2 linked regions of the Drosophila melanogaster genome follow. Changing the gene in region 1 together with any one later gene gives a genetic interaction. Each region holds a gene or a part of one and is shown in the gene's direction. Other genes may lie near its edges.

Region 1 (7,796 bases):
AAAACTTGAATAAATGTTACTTAACTACATTCAGTTTTTATTTTTATACCCGTTACTCGTAGAGATTCTTTGAAAAGTATGTAACAGGCAGAAGGAAGCGTTTCCGACTGTATAAAGTAGATATATTCTTGATCAGGATGTCATGCCCGTCTGCCCGTATGAACTATGAGAAACTATAAAAGCTAGAAGGCTTACAGGTTCTAGAGACAAAGACGCATCGGTTGAGATTCAGCATCTGTAGGCAACGCAAGTTTGTTGACCCATGCTGCCACGCCCAATCTAACGCTTACAAACCGCACAAGACTGCCACTCCCACAAATTTAAAAACATCGATATCTTTTCACATTATTATTAGTCTTGTAATTTTCAATCGATTTGTAAAAAAATTCGAACGCTCCAAACCCGCCCAAAACTGCCACGCACACATTTTTGAAAAATTGCCAAAAAAAAACTTTCTACCACGCCCATTTTAACGTCCTATAGCCGTCACGCCCAGACTTTTGAAAAATTTTTACATTTGTTCTTATTTTATTCCGCAATATCTATTGATATTCCAGAAAAATTATGAAATTTCGCATTAGCACTCACCTAGCTGAGTAACGGGTATCTGATAGTCGGGGAACTTGAATATAGCATTATCTCTTGTTTTTTTATTATTTCAGTTTCTTTAATCAGTATTCATTAGTCGCGTTATTCTAAGTAGATTTTGTTCAAAATATTTTCACAAAAATAAATCAAAAAATTTTTTACTTTTGCTTATTTAGCTTCCAAGATTTATTCCGGTGTATAATTAGAAATTCTTTTTTCTTTATTGCTTTTGTGCATTATTTCCAATATATGTAAATGTTAATACAGACAAAATACACTCAATTTTAATCCTCGGCAAAAGATCGATCTTCCGGCGCAGATGAGCTGAAATAAGATCGTGGAATTTTCCACAAACACTACGAATATATACGAACACATACATACTTTCCACAATTTTCCGAACCAAAACGAATTTAAATAAACTTATCTTTGCAAAATTTATCCCGAAAATTCTAAAATTACATTCATCTTAGGGAAAATAATTAAATTAGGTTAAGTTAAATAATATAAAAAAATATTTAATCCTAACGGAAATTTAATTAAAAAAAATTAAAAATACAGAAGTAATGTAAAATAAGTTTCCACCTGGGGTACATATTTATATAAATTATTACAAATAATACAAATAGTTGCGGATATAATTATTCGGAAAATTTCACTGTAGATTCGCAGTTTGGTATCTTTCACGCAGGTATAGGATTAGGTATGACAGAATTTAGCAAGCATCTTTATATTTTTTAAATTTATTTTTAGATGTTTACTTCAACAGATGAATTCTCCTAGTGTATTCATATCTCCTTTATATCTCGTCCACGTGCGTAACTTTTTTTTATTAATATACATGTTATGTATCTTTCCAGCATGTGTTAAAGTTAAATAAAAATCGTAGGTTTTGTTTATGTCTGTTAATCGATGGAAAGAGGTGCTCCACGGGAGCTCAACGGGGTGCTCCCCGGGACAGCACGAAAGGGTGCTCCACGAGCCGGCTGATCACTGACTGATCACTTTTCACTTTTTTTGCGTGGCGTTGTTGTTGCTCCAAGCAAAAGATTTTCCAGATTAAGTTTCCGCCTGGGAAAAAACACACAAAAAAAATGTAGACCGCATACCGTTTTGCGGCGAGGAAAGCTCGCTAGATTATTATATCATTAACGCGCGCAGGCTATAATTTTCTAAAAAACAGTTGAATGAAAAAAATGTTCACGAATTGACTTTACGACGGTTCGATTAGAAAAGAAATAGAACGGAAACTCAAGCCTGGGTCTAGGCCATCAGAAGAAATCATGATCATCTGGAAATCACTCCATTTGTGATAACCAAGCTATCCAAAACTTTCCTAGTTCAGCTGATAAAGATTTGCATCTCGTCCAGTATATTTCCTATGACTAATACTGCATTTAATATGACCCTTGATTACACGCCCAAAGCTTGGCTCAAGCTTTCAGGGTGTTCTAACATAATAGCTTCAGGGGTCGCTACAAACTCCACCTATTAACTTTAATTAACCCTAATTAACAACTCTAATTCCTCTTCCAATTTGCACACCAATGTTTTCTCTAAGCATAGCTATTCTGTTTGAAATAACTTAGCTAAATGATCGTCGAAAGTGCATTTGCTTAATACATATACATACATTCATACACATACATTCTTTGTCAAATCAAAACACAACCAAAGAAAATTCGATTATTCATCCGTTCTTTATGACAAGCACCACTGCATACAACTGTTTTATAACAATCTCCTTTAATTGGTCCCGTTGTAATAAGAAATACCACATTCCGGGAAGCAGATTTTGCTTAAGTGCTTTTGCATCTTGATAAAAAGGATGGGGCGGGGATGAGAAAAAAGAAAGTAAGAAAACGAAATGGATTATCGGATTTCCTGCGATTTTTATTATAGGTAATATAATAATTTCATGAGCAGAAAGAAATCTTTAAAGGTATAATAATATATTTTACTTTAAGTTTAATCGTAAACTGAAAAGAACCTGACAACAAGACGATGGAAATTTCTCTCTTCAAAAATAAGTACGGATATAGTGATTAAAACACATTGAAAAAGTGATGAATTGAGCGGTGTTTAAGCGCCATTGATATCAACTAAATTGTAGAGTCGAATATGAATATGAATATATGATCCAGAAAATCCGTTTGAAAAATTTATATCTTACTTCCACTTTCTTGTTTTTAAGGATAAACGCCTTTCATATTACTATGTACATATTTTAATTTTAACAGTATTTGATAATACTGCTTTACTGTGGATGAACTTGATAAGGATCGAACCGCTGATAAGTCTAGTCTCAACTGTGTCGATTTATAGTTCCCCGATATCGAAACTCGTCATAAAGTGTAAATGTATTTTTTATAGCGCCAGAAACGTTATCTTGAACCTTATTTTTAAAGATTACCTTTTAGTCTTCGAGTTGTGTTTATAATCACGTTCGCGAGCACAAAAGTGTAGATAACGTCGACTTAATTTTCCGGTTACACTAAAGAAACCAATTGAAATGATCTGATATGTACCTTACATATACATAATCAGTGTCTAGCGTCTTCGGATCGGACGTTAAGGACGTTAAGAACTTCCTTTTTGCTTTTGGCTTTCAGATGCCTAATGATTTTTTTTTTTAAATTAAGAAATAGAATATAAACGAAAAGAGAATGCTATAGTCGAGTTCCCCGACTATCTCAGCTAGTGTGAATGCGAACCCGAAATTGCACGATTTATTTTTTTTATTGGGATATCGATAGATGTTGGGGAATAAAATGAGAAAAAACTTAAAATTTGACCGGTTCGGCAGCTTCAGGACGTTAGAGTGGGCGTATCAAAAATTTTTTTGGAAAATGGATACATGGGTCAACCTTCTATCATTTATAGTGCCAGAGATCTCGACGATCCTACTTATGGCACATTCTTTTCTGACTCCACTTAGCTGAGTGATGGGTATATGATATTTCTGATTGTAGAGGAACTAGACTCTTCTCTCTTATTTTGATAAGCGAACAACAGACGCAATTCCCAAGTCCTTTGAGAACCACTCAAGCGTCGCCACTCAAGAGAAAAATGCCCCCACTATCACTGTCTCGCTCTACCCAGAAACCAACTGAGAAGGCGACGCCGTCACCGCTGTTAGTTGAACTTCACGCGTCGCCGGGTGTGCCGGGAAGTAAGCAGTCGCTGACGATCGGAAATCTAAAACAATTACAGCGAGTAGGGCCGTGTACGATAAAAAGAGAACACCAGCTGATAGTGCACGACAGCGGAACATTATTGTAGTCTCTCAACTGAGTATTTCGTACATTCACATATTTTGTTTACATAGTCCATGCAATGCGCATATGGCTGGGAACTGGAAGATTTACAAAATACGATTGGATACGAACAAGTCATAATAATGATTTAAATTTTAATGTTCTGAAGAGTTTAAAATGAATATGTTTTTAATATCAGAATTTTACGCAATTAAGCCTAAATGAGACTAACGCCAATGGTTCAGTGTGATACGTGAGAGTGAATACAACGAATGGGCGCTCCGTTGTGATCTCTCTTTCCAACGGAACGTACATATGTACATTCATATGTATGTGCATAGTTATGTGCAGCATCAGCAGCTGAGTAGAAACATATGAGAGAAAGAGAGCCGCGGTCGAAATTATTACTCATTGCCAAAGTCAAACCTGCTGATAAGGTCAGTGCACGCTCAGCGCCGGCATTGTTTTCTTTACTTTGCTTTGACTTGCGGTTAAACTCTCTGGTTGGTGGAGGATCTAATTCTTATTGGTAGTTTTCTCGCAAAACGCTACGTCCCATAGCTACATATTTACAAATCAAATAGATTACAAACCACATCAATTTTAATACACGTATGCATGCTATTAGAAATTATATTATGTTATATATACATGTATATATGTATATAATATAATGGGTTAAATATGCCAAAAAAAAAGGTGCTCTAGAACACCTAGCCAAGAAAATGAAATACGAGCCCCAACTACTATTATTGTTTTGTATTGTGTTTCGAACAGCATGTGTTTTTTGCGGTGTGCAATGTTCAACACACGATATGTATACTCATTACTACTACAGATAACGTATGCAAAAGTATTTAGTCTGAAAGAGAATTTTATTCTCTTCATGTTGATAAAAAATGTTATATTTTCAACAACAACAACAGAGATAAGAAAAAAAGGCCACTATTAATTCGAACGCTGCAAAGTATAACAGACTAATTAACATAAGAATTGTGTAACGTCGCGTCCTGGGCTGTATTACACATTAAATACGTTTTGGCATTGATTTAAAAAAATTTTGGCCATGTTCTCGAGAAATCGATACCCACATCTCTTTGAGGTCACAAATGTTCCTCTGTGGTTCATTCGAAGCTTTCTTTTCATTAGCCACCAAATATTGTTTATGGGGCCTAGATCTGGACTATCTAGCCAATCTAAAACCTCCACTTGCTTATATTGTAGTCAATTTTCCTACTGAATCCTTTCCCGAGCCCATTGCAAACTCGTTTTTTTTTTTGCGAAGCGTAAGCAAGGGTTTTTCCGTGGCCTACAAGTAGAGTAAAAGGGTATACTAGATTCTTTGAAAAAGTATATATATTCTTGATATGGATCAATAGCCGAGTCGATCTGACCCTGCCCGTCTGTCCGTCCGTCCGTATGAACGTCGAGATCTTAGGAACTATAGAAGTTAAAGAGTTGAGATTAGGGATACAGTTTTCAGAGAGATAGTTTTTACTATCTACTAGTTACTATTATTATTATTACTATTATTACTATTATTACTACTATTTACTATAGTACTAGTTTTACAATACCAGTATTTCGACACTGTTTTAATTTGATATTCGAAACCATAATAACAGTCGCAAAATGTTTGGATTGTTAACAATTTTAGATTCTTTGCCTTAGCCGTTTGTTGGCTTTACATTTTTTGGGAAGACAAATGGTAGAATATACAAAATGAAAATACAAAATGTGATCGTGTCAGCTTAAGCGATAATGGTAAGGTTTTGAATCAAACTTACATACATAGCGATTTGATTACCCTGTAGCTTTTATAGTTCCCGATATCTCTCGATATTCATCTCTTGCCCTCCAACTAGACAGGAAAAGGGTATCTTATTGTCTATCAAAGATAATAACAAGCTCTTCTGGCGATTTGATTGGCAACAATATGCTTTCGGTCAAAACCTGCCGAGAAAACCCAACGCTGATAACCCAACGGCACACAAGCTAGTAGGACTACTTTTGCTGATAAGCATACATGAATCAAATGAAAAAGGTTTAAATTGCCAGTAGAGTTCCACCAACGTGCGATCCGTTGTTGATAAATGCATATCTACATTACTTAAGTTGTGGAGTGTAATAAATTTAATTGGTTAGTCCTTAAATTCTAACAAGAGAGAATGCTGTATTCGAGTTCCCCGACCATCCGATACCCTTTACTCAGCTAGTGGGATTGCGAATGCGAAATTATTCATAAATGAATAAAATAAAATGAGAATGAAATGAAAAAAATTAAAAATTGACAAGATAAACAATAAAACGAAGAAAAATCGACAAACTTGCGTCTGTATGCTTGATTTCAGCCGTCTAGCTTTTATAGTTTCTGAAATCAAGACGTTCATAGTATGACGTTCATACGGATAGACGGCCATGGCCAGATCCTATTCAAGAATATATATACTTTATGTGGTTGGAAACGCTTCCTTCTGCCTGTTCCATATTTTTCCACGTATCTAGTATACCCTTTTACATTACTAGTAACGGGTATAATAAACAACATTTTGTTTAGCTATCATTATACGTACATTGTATAGAATAATCAATTTACCTTATAAGAGTTCCTTAAGAGTTAACTTAAAATGAAAACGTTTCTAATCTGCAATAAACTACCACTGTATTATTTAAAATTTTTGTAAAATCCACGTTTAGGCAATCCACGTTTAAGCAGGGTTTAACATATGGGACCATATAATCTTCTATGTAATTTCTTGCACGCTTAGCTTGAAGTTTACATAAAGGGGCTTACATAAATAGGATGCTGGAAGTGATCATGAATTCCTCTCCCTGAAAATTATTTTTTAAATGCTGCCCTTGTTACACATTTCCCTAGACATAAGGAAAACAAGAGAGAATGCTATAGTCGAGTTCCCCGACTATCAGATACCCGTTATCATTTTTTTTATTTACGTTATCAATATTAAAATGTTTATAACTAATTTCCAAAAGAGATACCATTGTTGGCCTCGGGAGTTTTGACCGACTTGCTCTTAGTTGCCATAATGTTTTCGATTTCGTCTGGCTTTCATATTTCTACTTTACCTACAATAATCAATATTTATGAATTTTATTTAAAGATCTTCTTCGAGTTTCTTACCCTGAAGACAAATAGTAATTTTTCTTGGCTAAGCAATCAAAGAGCTACCATTAATTTGTATCCTTATTCAAAGGTATACGGTGTATCTTTTCTCTGTTACCTAACTAGTCCCATAGACTTCAATGTAAATGTAGTGATAATGGTTTGAAATGTACTTTTAATACAATGAACAACATTATTTGTTAATTAAACAGTAACTTACAATGTTATAACTAAGAAAACTTACTGACAAAGTAAACACACGATTTTCACACACGATTCCTATGAGGGCTTGAGGGATTAGCATTGCATCATGTGCTTGTCGATGTATATCCTCTTTGAAGGTCCAGCTCGTGACAGATCATATTAGCCCATAGATGGCTTCCAATTATTTTTAATCTATATTCTATAACCTTTCTAATATGTCCATATATACAATAAAGATCAAATTTTCTGCACCTAACTCTTACTGTCGGGGTAAGGGTCTTGGGACTAGGGAATCCTTTGAGGACAATAAGGCATTTGGTATTTTTGAGGGCACTACTTTAGTACTCCCATTAGCGAATATATCATAGCAGTAAATGCATACATGTTTGCCCTTTTAACGTCTACAAACCAACCAAAAGTGTCACGCACTTACTTTTGAAATATATGTTCGTCTGTATGAACATTGAGATCTTTGGAACTATAATAGCTAGAAGGTTGAGATTAAACATACAGATTCTAGAGACAAAGACGCAGTGCAAGTTTGTTGCCACGTCCACTCTAACGCGCTAAACCCACCCAAAACTTCCACGCCCACATTTTTGAAATATTGTAGGGTCATATAT
Region 2 (7,918 bases), on another chromosome or scaffold:
CTATCAACTTAATATATGTATGTATGAAGCCATATGAAAACACCTTAGCCGTTATACGTGTACCATCGTCAGATAAATAGTCAGGCATTAAAGGTCGTATATTGAATTCAATGCACTGTACATGGAACTCGTATACCACCTTTTGCCATTTTCTAGCATTCTTTTTCGATTGACTTTTGTTTGGGAGCCTAAAAATTAATAGTTTCAGAGAAATCCTAAATTTTCGCTAGGGGAAAAATAAAAAGCGAAAATATGGAAGTCTATGTTGTGCACGCAAAAGAAAAAAATAGTTAATATAATTATGCTTCCGTGCCGAACCAAATATTCTCGAAAAATATATACAAATTACCATTCGATTAATGGACTTCCCATTTAAAGAAATTTAATTTGCAGAGAATAAAAATGATTTTGCTTGGTGGTAAGATATTTGGCTAATTGGTTTTGTCTTCGGATCCTGCAGGGTATACTTGTTTGCCGAATACAAATACCATATAAAAATGGTTTGTTGATGTGATATATTTTCAGTGTCCTAAACACATATTTTAAGTACTTAAACGATCCAATTTTAAAGTTTTCGCGAATAAAATGGTTTGAAAACGTTCTAAATAACCCTGTCAATCTATTGTTATTACCAATCATCTCGGAAAATAATGCCCGTTTATTTATTGATCAAAACATTCGCTATTTGTCTGATAATGGCTATATGTATAAAGCTATATGATGTACTAGATATACAGTATGAATCAATAGGCAGCTTGGTTTAGCTCTGTTTTGAATGCACTTTTCTATACCTAATATGTACATATATATACACAAGTATTTTGATATATATACACGTCTATGTATCGGATAAATCAAAATGTAGAAATCGCTTTTGGTATTTGGTAGTCGAATTAATTTGGAGCATTTAATTTTGGATCGTTTCTTAGATAATTCCTTGTTTATGATGTGCGAAGTTAGCGGAATAAATTGTTAGGAAACTTACCAAGTTTCCGCAAAGATCAATCACTTGATAGGTAAATACTAATGTACTGAGCCATTTCTTTGATATTACGTGATATGAGTACTAAACTACTAAAAAGTTGCCTGCAGCTAATACCCACTTCCCAAAAACACACATCTCCGACTCTGAACGAATTTGATTTTTACCTACACTTCTCCATGAAACGCGAAAAGTAAAGCTAAAATCAATAAATTGTATGTGGAAATATATATTTTAAACAAATTTTTTATACTTATTACAAATATACATATAACGAGGAAAACCAATATAGCATTAACTATACAAGGACAATGCAAATTTTTCGTGTTGTTTTGCAGTCTTTTAAGTATATAAAAGCAGGAAAAACATTGAAAACCAGTAAATCAAATTTCATAATTTACATGAATAACATTGCATAAACAATTAACCAAAATTTCCTGTATAGTTAAAAAACTCATTTGTATTATATATGAAATATTAAAGATACACAAACAAATTACGCTAAAATTAATATTTCTATGACGAAAATGGAATCCGGAGAACAAGAAAACCGCACTAGTTTATATAAAGTAAATTATAAAAAATATACATACATAATTGACTTTAAATGTTGAAAAACAAAACCAAAACCAAATGAAAAATAACCCATGCATTGATTAATGTATTCAAGAACGGAAATTTACATATTTACGACTCAAAAAGGACAGAGTGCGGAGCAGATCAAAGATAACAAAAAGCGTTTAATGGTTGGCAAGCAAGCAGTGCACGCAGGCCTTTTGCTATTTGCAGGTATAGCAGTTAACATTGTTAACTGCGGCAAAGCAGTTTTAACACTAAAGTAAAGCGAAACAATTTAATTATAATAGAGCTAAATAATAATAAAAAGAAAGCGAGCGAAGACGTACTCAGAAATATTTTCCAACAGGAATGTTGTAGGCATTATATCGTTTGCGAACGCGAATAAAGTAAAATAACAACAGAATTATTGTGTAAAAATGGTTTATTATTAATGTATAAGTATAACAGCAAACACAAATGGTAACTTAAAACAATGTAAGCAAACCAAGAAAAACAACCAACAAAAAAACGAAAAAAATATGAAAATTGAAAAAAACCAAGAAAAAATTAAAACCAAAATAAATGAAAAATTATTACAAAAAGCTTGTGTTTTTTTGGCCATATATGGAGCTGCTTTAGTAAATTGATACATTTTTTTGTTCAGCAAGTTACGATAAATAATAAGCTGTGCAACAAAAAAACAAAAGAATTAGACCAATTACGGTGGGCTTGATTATACTAATTAATAGATCATGGGTCTCTAACAGATATCTCACGATCTGTCCACGCTCCCATCTGGTTTTACCGACTCATTTCCCAAACACGACTAAATTGGTGTTTTGGAGGTATCCTTTGTTTCCGTTGTAACCGTTACACTTGATTTTAATTTCACAAATACCTATGTTACTATCTACAATACATCTTAATACAGTTGATACAAATGCTATTTTCAGTGCCCCGTTTACTCAAGTTGGAAAAAACTCTTTCTGCTATAGAGGTGGCAACCCTAAATAAGGCTTACATTGCAAACCGTTAGTTACATATGCTACCTACCAATTAGCCAGGACGCAAACCCAGACCGCAAAGCAGAGCTTTTGCTTCCGGCCATCTAAATAGCGCCAAAGTAAAAGTCGCGATCCTACATCTTGGCTAAGGTCAGGCGCCTTTTAATGCTGCCCAAAGTGAACGGATGCAATTACTCAATTACTCTGGCCTTTGTGCATTGTCTGTAGATGCCAATATGTGTATGTGTGTATATATATATTTATGCTGAGCCCAAGACAATTAGCGCTATTGCCAAATGAAACAGCGGCGCACAGGTGAACGTTCGCGAGTGGGAGAGCGAGCTTTAAAAGCAGTTTTCTTGCTACTTACCTGCTTAACTTGCTGCTCATGTCTGGTCTTCGTTAGTGGGAGAATCGGAAAGAGCGTTGAAGCATTGGAGCACGGGAGCGTAGAGCCCGCGCAAGATATTCAAGTGAATTACCAAATCCCGATTCCGTCAGTCTGCGAGGTCGCCTCAAGCGCTCAACACCTGTGCGCATCTAGAAAAAAAACAGAAACCTACCTAAATACCAATCCAACCCAATCAGTACTACCAATAAGGACAGGCTCTTAAATCAAACGAAGTGAAAGAAAAGTGACTGAAAAAGTGAAAAGCGGCATGCAAGTGCAGAAACCCAGCCCAACCAGATGAGCCCAACCCACAACCCAGTCGATTGAGATTCCAAACGCGACACATGCTGCTGGTGCTGGAATAACAGTTTTAGCCAAGAGAGCTGCTTGTTTTCGACCACAAGTGGTCAGAGAGGAGAGCCGGAGCCCGCAGTCTTTTAGCTGGTTCGGGAGATCTGTGGAAAACCAAACAAACCAAGTAAAATCGAAACAAAACAAACAGAAAACAAAAGCAACATGAATCAAACGCAAGTAAATAATTTCCTCAAGTGCTTCCTGCAAATCGATGAGCCGTCCAACCGTTGGACATCACGTCACGACGGGGAGGATCTCGATGATAACGACCATGATCATGATCATGACGACGACAACGACGACGACGAGAGTGGCGTTCTGGTTGCCAAGGTCACAGCCATGGTGGTGCTATTTTGCGCCAGCGCGATCTGCGGGTCCATTCCCTTCTTGCTTAACCGTTGCTATCGCTGGACGGAAAACCAGACGAACGCACGATCCGCCATTGTGGTCAAATGCCTGCTGTACTTTGGAGGCGGCGTCCTGCTAGCCACCACCTTTCTCCATCTCTTGCCCGAAGTTCAGGAGGTCGTCGAAGAGCTGCAGGAGTGCGGCATCATCGGAGAGCTCACTTTTCCGCTGGCCGAGCTTCTCATGTGCTGTGGCTTCTTCCTCATGTACTTCATCGAGGAGGCCATGCACACGTATGTCCATCATCATCAGAAGGATGAGGCTGGCGCCGCTTTCGAGCGGGGTCACAGCATCCGAAACAGCCACCTGCTGAAACCCACCGAAGGCAACGCTACCACACCCACAGCCCCACCGGCGCCATTGGCTGGCACCGCTGAACTTGGAACACTATCGGTGCAGAATCTCCTGCAAAACGATCTGGAGCAGCAAAAGTTTGCTACCAAGCCACAGCAACAAGCTAATGGACACGGACACAGCCACGGGCATGGACATGGACATAGCCATCTACCAGTAATCGCAGACGATGCCGATGCGGGGGACATGTTGGCTTCATCTCTGCGCGGACTCTTCATCGTTTCCGCTCTGTCGCTGCACGAACTCTTTGAGGGCATGGCCATTGGCCTAGAGAGCTCCGCCAGTTCGGTGTGGTTTATGTTCGGTGCCGTTTCCGCACACAAATTGGTCCTGGCCTTCTGCGTGGGCGTCGAGCTGATCGTGGCCAGGACCCGGATGTTACTGGCCGTTCTCTATGTGTTGACCTTTGCGGTGGTTAGCCCTCTGGGCATCGGAATCGGGATTTTGATAAATCACGGCGAAGAGACATCCGGACCCAGTCTGGTCTCCGCCATTCTGCAAGGATTCGCCTGCGGCACGCTCATATACGTGGTGTTCTTTGAGATACTCTCGAAAAATCGATCCGGTCTGCGCGCCTATTTGGCCCTCTTCGTCGGCTTCCTTGTCATGTTTGGCCTGCAGCAGTTGAGTAAGTATCACATTTAAATAATAATTACATGTTGTGGCCTTTGAATATGCAAATCGTAGGGATTTAGTGAGACAGAAATTTGCGATGTAAAATACAACTCGGTCTTGCCACTTAAGGCAGTTTTCAATTAATTATATATTGCTTTTTATTACGCAAATTTACATCAAATGATGATTAGTGTACATTTTGCTACTTAACCAGAAATATTGTTTTGTTAGTTTACTTACATTGATATCTATGAATTGCCTAGACACATTAGACCTTAGGGACTCCTGCTTTAATCATTTATCCTTTAATTGGTGATACTTAATAATAAGCAGGCTTAACGGTGATTAGTACGATCGTCGCCGTGTGCGTCAGATGAGATTCTTTAACCGGAATCGATTCGGGGAAATTGGGAACAGGTTCTATATAGCTGATCTGCTAAATGCTGCGTGGTTGACCTTGTAACAGACCTTGCTGTGATTTATTTTGCATACTCATATACAAGACGGCTTGTCAGTCTGTGTACCTAGAGTAAATGTGAAATAAAAATCCCGTCCCTGCCATGAAGTCATCTCGCAAAAATCAGGGGGTTGCCCATGCGAAAAAGCACCGTGAAAACCGCACTCGCAATTGTATTGATGAGCACGGGATAAAAAATCAGACGAGAAGTTTAGGCCACAAATATGTGATTACCCGAAAGTCGGTTAGGTTTTTATATGGTCTAGGGCCAGATAAGGCAGGACAAAACGCTCATAAATCATTGCGTGGAAGTGGGCTGTTGGAATTGAATTCCCATGCTACCATGACGAAAAAAATGTTAAGCAATCAAGAGAGAAGTGTGTAAATCACCATGAGGAAACAGGGTCTACCCGATAAGGATTGGCATTCCTAACAGCATACATTGTTCAACCCTATAACGTGTCACTAACCTTCCTTATCGCTTACAGCTTCCATTGGCGGACATGGTCATAGCCACAGCCACAGCAGTTGCTCCACGTCGGAACACACACACAACCACCAAGAGACTGAGACTGAGACCAGGTCAGCATCGGGCCACACCCATGGCCACCAGCACGACCATGATCATCCACATCACCACAACCACGCTGAGGAGCTGGCCACGGTTCACAACTATGAACAGCAGCTGCAGCTCTTGCGGCAGGTGACCCAAAAACTGCTTGAAGCCCACCCCAAGAAGGACGCCTAGATTGTACCCTGCTCAGCAGAATACTAATTGTATATGTATTTATGTGTATTATATATTTGTACTGTGTAAAAAATAGTGAAAGTAGAAACAAAATATATATTAAAAAACTGAAGCGATTAAATTCTGACATTAAATGCAATTGCTAAACTGGGTCAAAAAATAGTAAACGCTAAGAGAACTAGAACTCTTATCTATGCCCAGTATTTGTGGCCTTTACAGTCTTTTATGAGGTTACAGCCATTTATGACTTCTACAAAACATAAATTTAGAGAAACAAATAATTTATTTTTGTGAACTTATAGTTAAACACAGAAAAAGCAACAAGGAAAGTACATAAAATATTACAACATTCCCTAATGTTCAGGGAGCTTTTAAAATTTTTCTTCTTAAACAATAAAAACAATTAGTGATTCGACATTAGGTTTCATATTAACTGAAAATCAAATTTGCCCATATTCAGTGGTTAGCGGTTACGTACATATAACAAAGTGAAGATACTCGTTTTTAAGTGAATAGATCGGACATATCAGATTGAAAAAGTCATTAGCAAATCCGAATCGATTGATTAATGAAATATGTCAATAAAGCTAAGGTATGTTTAATTTCAAAATTTGGCTTAATAGTAACTTAATTAGATGAGTAAGCGGTTTATACGTGCTCTAAACAAATATTTCAGGCATTTCAAATTGGGTTGAATTCTGAAGTTTGATTGCTTATACGAATATTTTCGAGAATACCCGCTATAAAACGAAATACGTGCCTGGGCATAAAGTTCCACCATCAGATTGCCGGCAGGCCCCGTTTGGGAGTGCGATTCTCGACATTGTGAAATTTCAGCACGATATCTCTCTACTGCTCTACAGTTTGCGAATCGTAAAGTGGCTTGGACTTGTTGACGAGGCCTTGTTGCCAGGTATATATTAATCATGTGATCGTCTTGTTTTGTCGCATAGGCCACAATAAATACAAATTTACAGCTGATAGCTTCGTTGCTTGCGTACATTTTTTACACGATATCTCCACAAAACTCGCTGCAGACCGGTTTCCGAGCTGGCCCCGCTGCTGCTTCTCACCAGACGGACCGCTATCTCTCTGTTTTTTGATAACTGCGATAAGCGCATGTTCTCCGCTCGAGCCGAACTGGAAGCCCAACATCATGCCCCCCCCATCGATCCCCAAATGTCCGGACTGCAGCGGAAATTAGCGCGTCAAGTGTCAAGTGTGAATTTGCGAGGCGGTAAACATGCCTGACAGCCGATGAAAACATCTTGGTGGCTCAATTAGCGCCATCGGGTGATCTTATTTACATCTGTGCTGTTGCCGATGACGATGCCATAGATGCTCAGGTTATTGGGAACTCAACCCCACCCCGTTGTATCCAACGGAACTCACCTTATCAAGTGCGCATCACTCTCTCTTCGCCTTCGCTATCCGTCTACAGATGTTATCAAGACTATCTCAGCGGAGTGCACACACGATGAAGTGTGGCAAAATCGTGGGGCTAAAGGCTTAACGGCAAACGGAACAACTAATCTCTAATATTCTTGGCTGATAGGCAATATTATCATTTGAACTCGAGCTCTTGAACCATATATACCAGAGGAGTGCCGCCAGTAAATCATATAAAACAGTGGTATGCGATAGCCCAAATACAAGATGTGAGCAAAAAAAAAAAAACTTGTTTGTTCTGATTGAGGCTCTGATAACCGGTAGTGAGTAAACGTTATTTCCGAAATTGAACTTTCGTTTTATATGAGTAAGGATCACTCTTTTGAGTTAGAGAGTTGGCCATTAAAAACTAATTTATTTACATCCACTCATTTTTCAAGAACTACAAAGAATACTTGCTTAAAAATTCGTGCATGGAATTCTACAAAAATTATACTGCTATGCCTAAAAGTATGTTCACTTTTCCCAAACACCACAATAAATAATGGTACTAGGTTTGTTCGTGATAAAAGTTAATTCTTTGCAGTTTTATTGGATCGTTTTTTAATAATTATTTTAATATATCAATCTTGAGTGAATTTGATGACATTTATAACGT

What was found. A genetic interaction does not mean that the proteins touch.
Region 2: of ZnT41F (region 1) and Zip89B, changing one enhances a phenotype caused by changing the other (phenotypic enhancement), as found in Drosophila melanogaster (one study listed by BioGRID).

What each region holds. Positions count from the first base shown.
Region 1 is NT_033778.4:5,778,785-5,786,580, reverse strand, and holds the start of ZnT41F (zinc transporter 41F), read left to right. Parts: upstream 1-3,722; 5' UTR 3,723-3,804; exon of another isoform or gene 3,805-4,282; intron 4,283-7,796.
Region 2 is NT_033777.3:16,302,720-16,310,637, forward strand, and holds Zip89B (Zinc/iron regulated transporter-related protein 89B), read left to right. Parts: upstream 1-3,038; 5' UTR 3,039-3,451; coding exon 3,452-4,679; intron 4,680-5,611; coding exon 5,612-5,871; 3' UTR 5,872-5,981; downstream 5,982-7,918.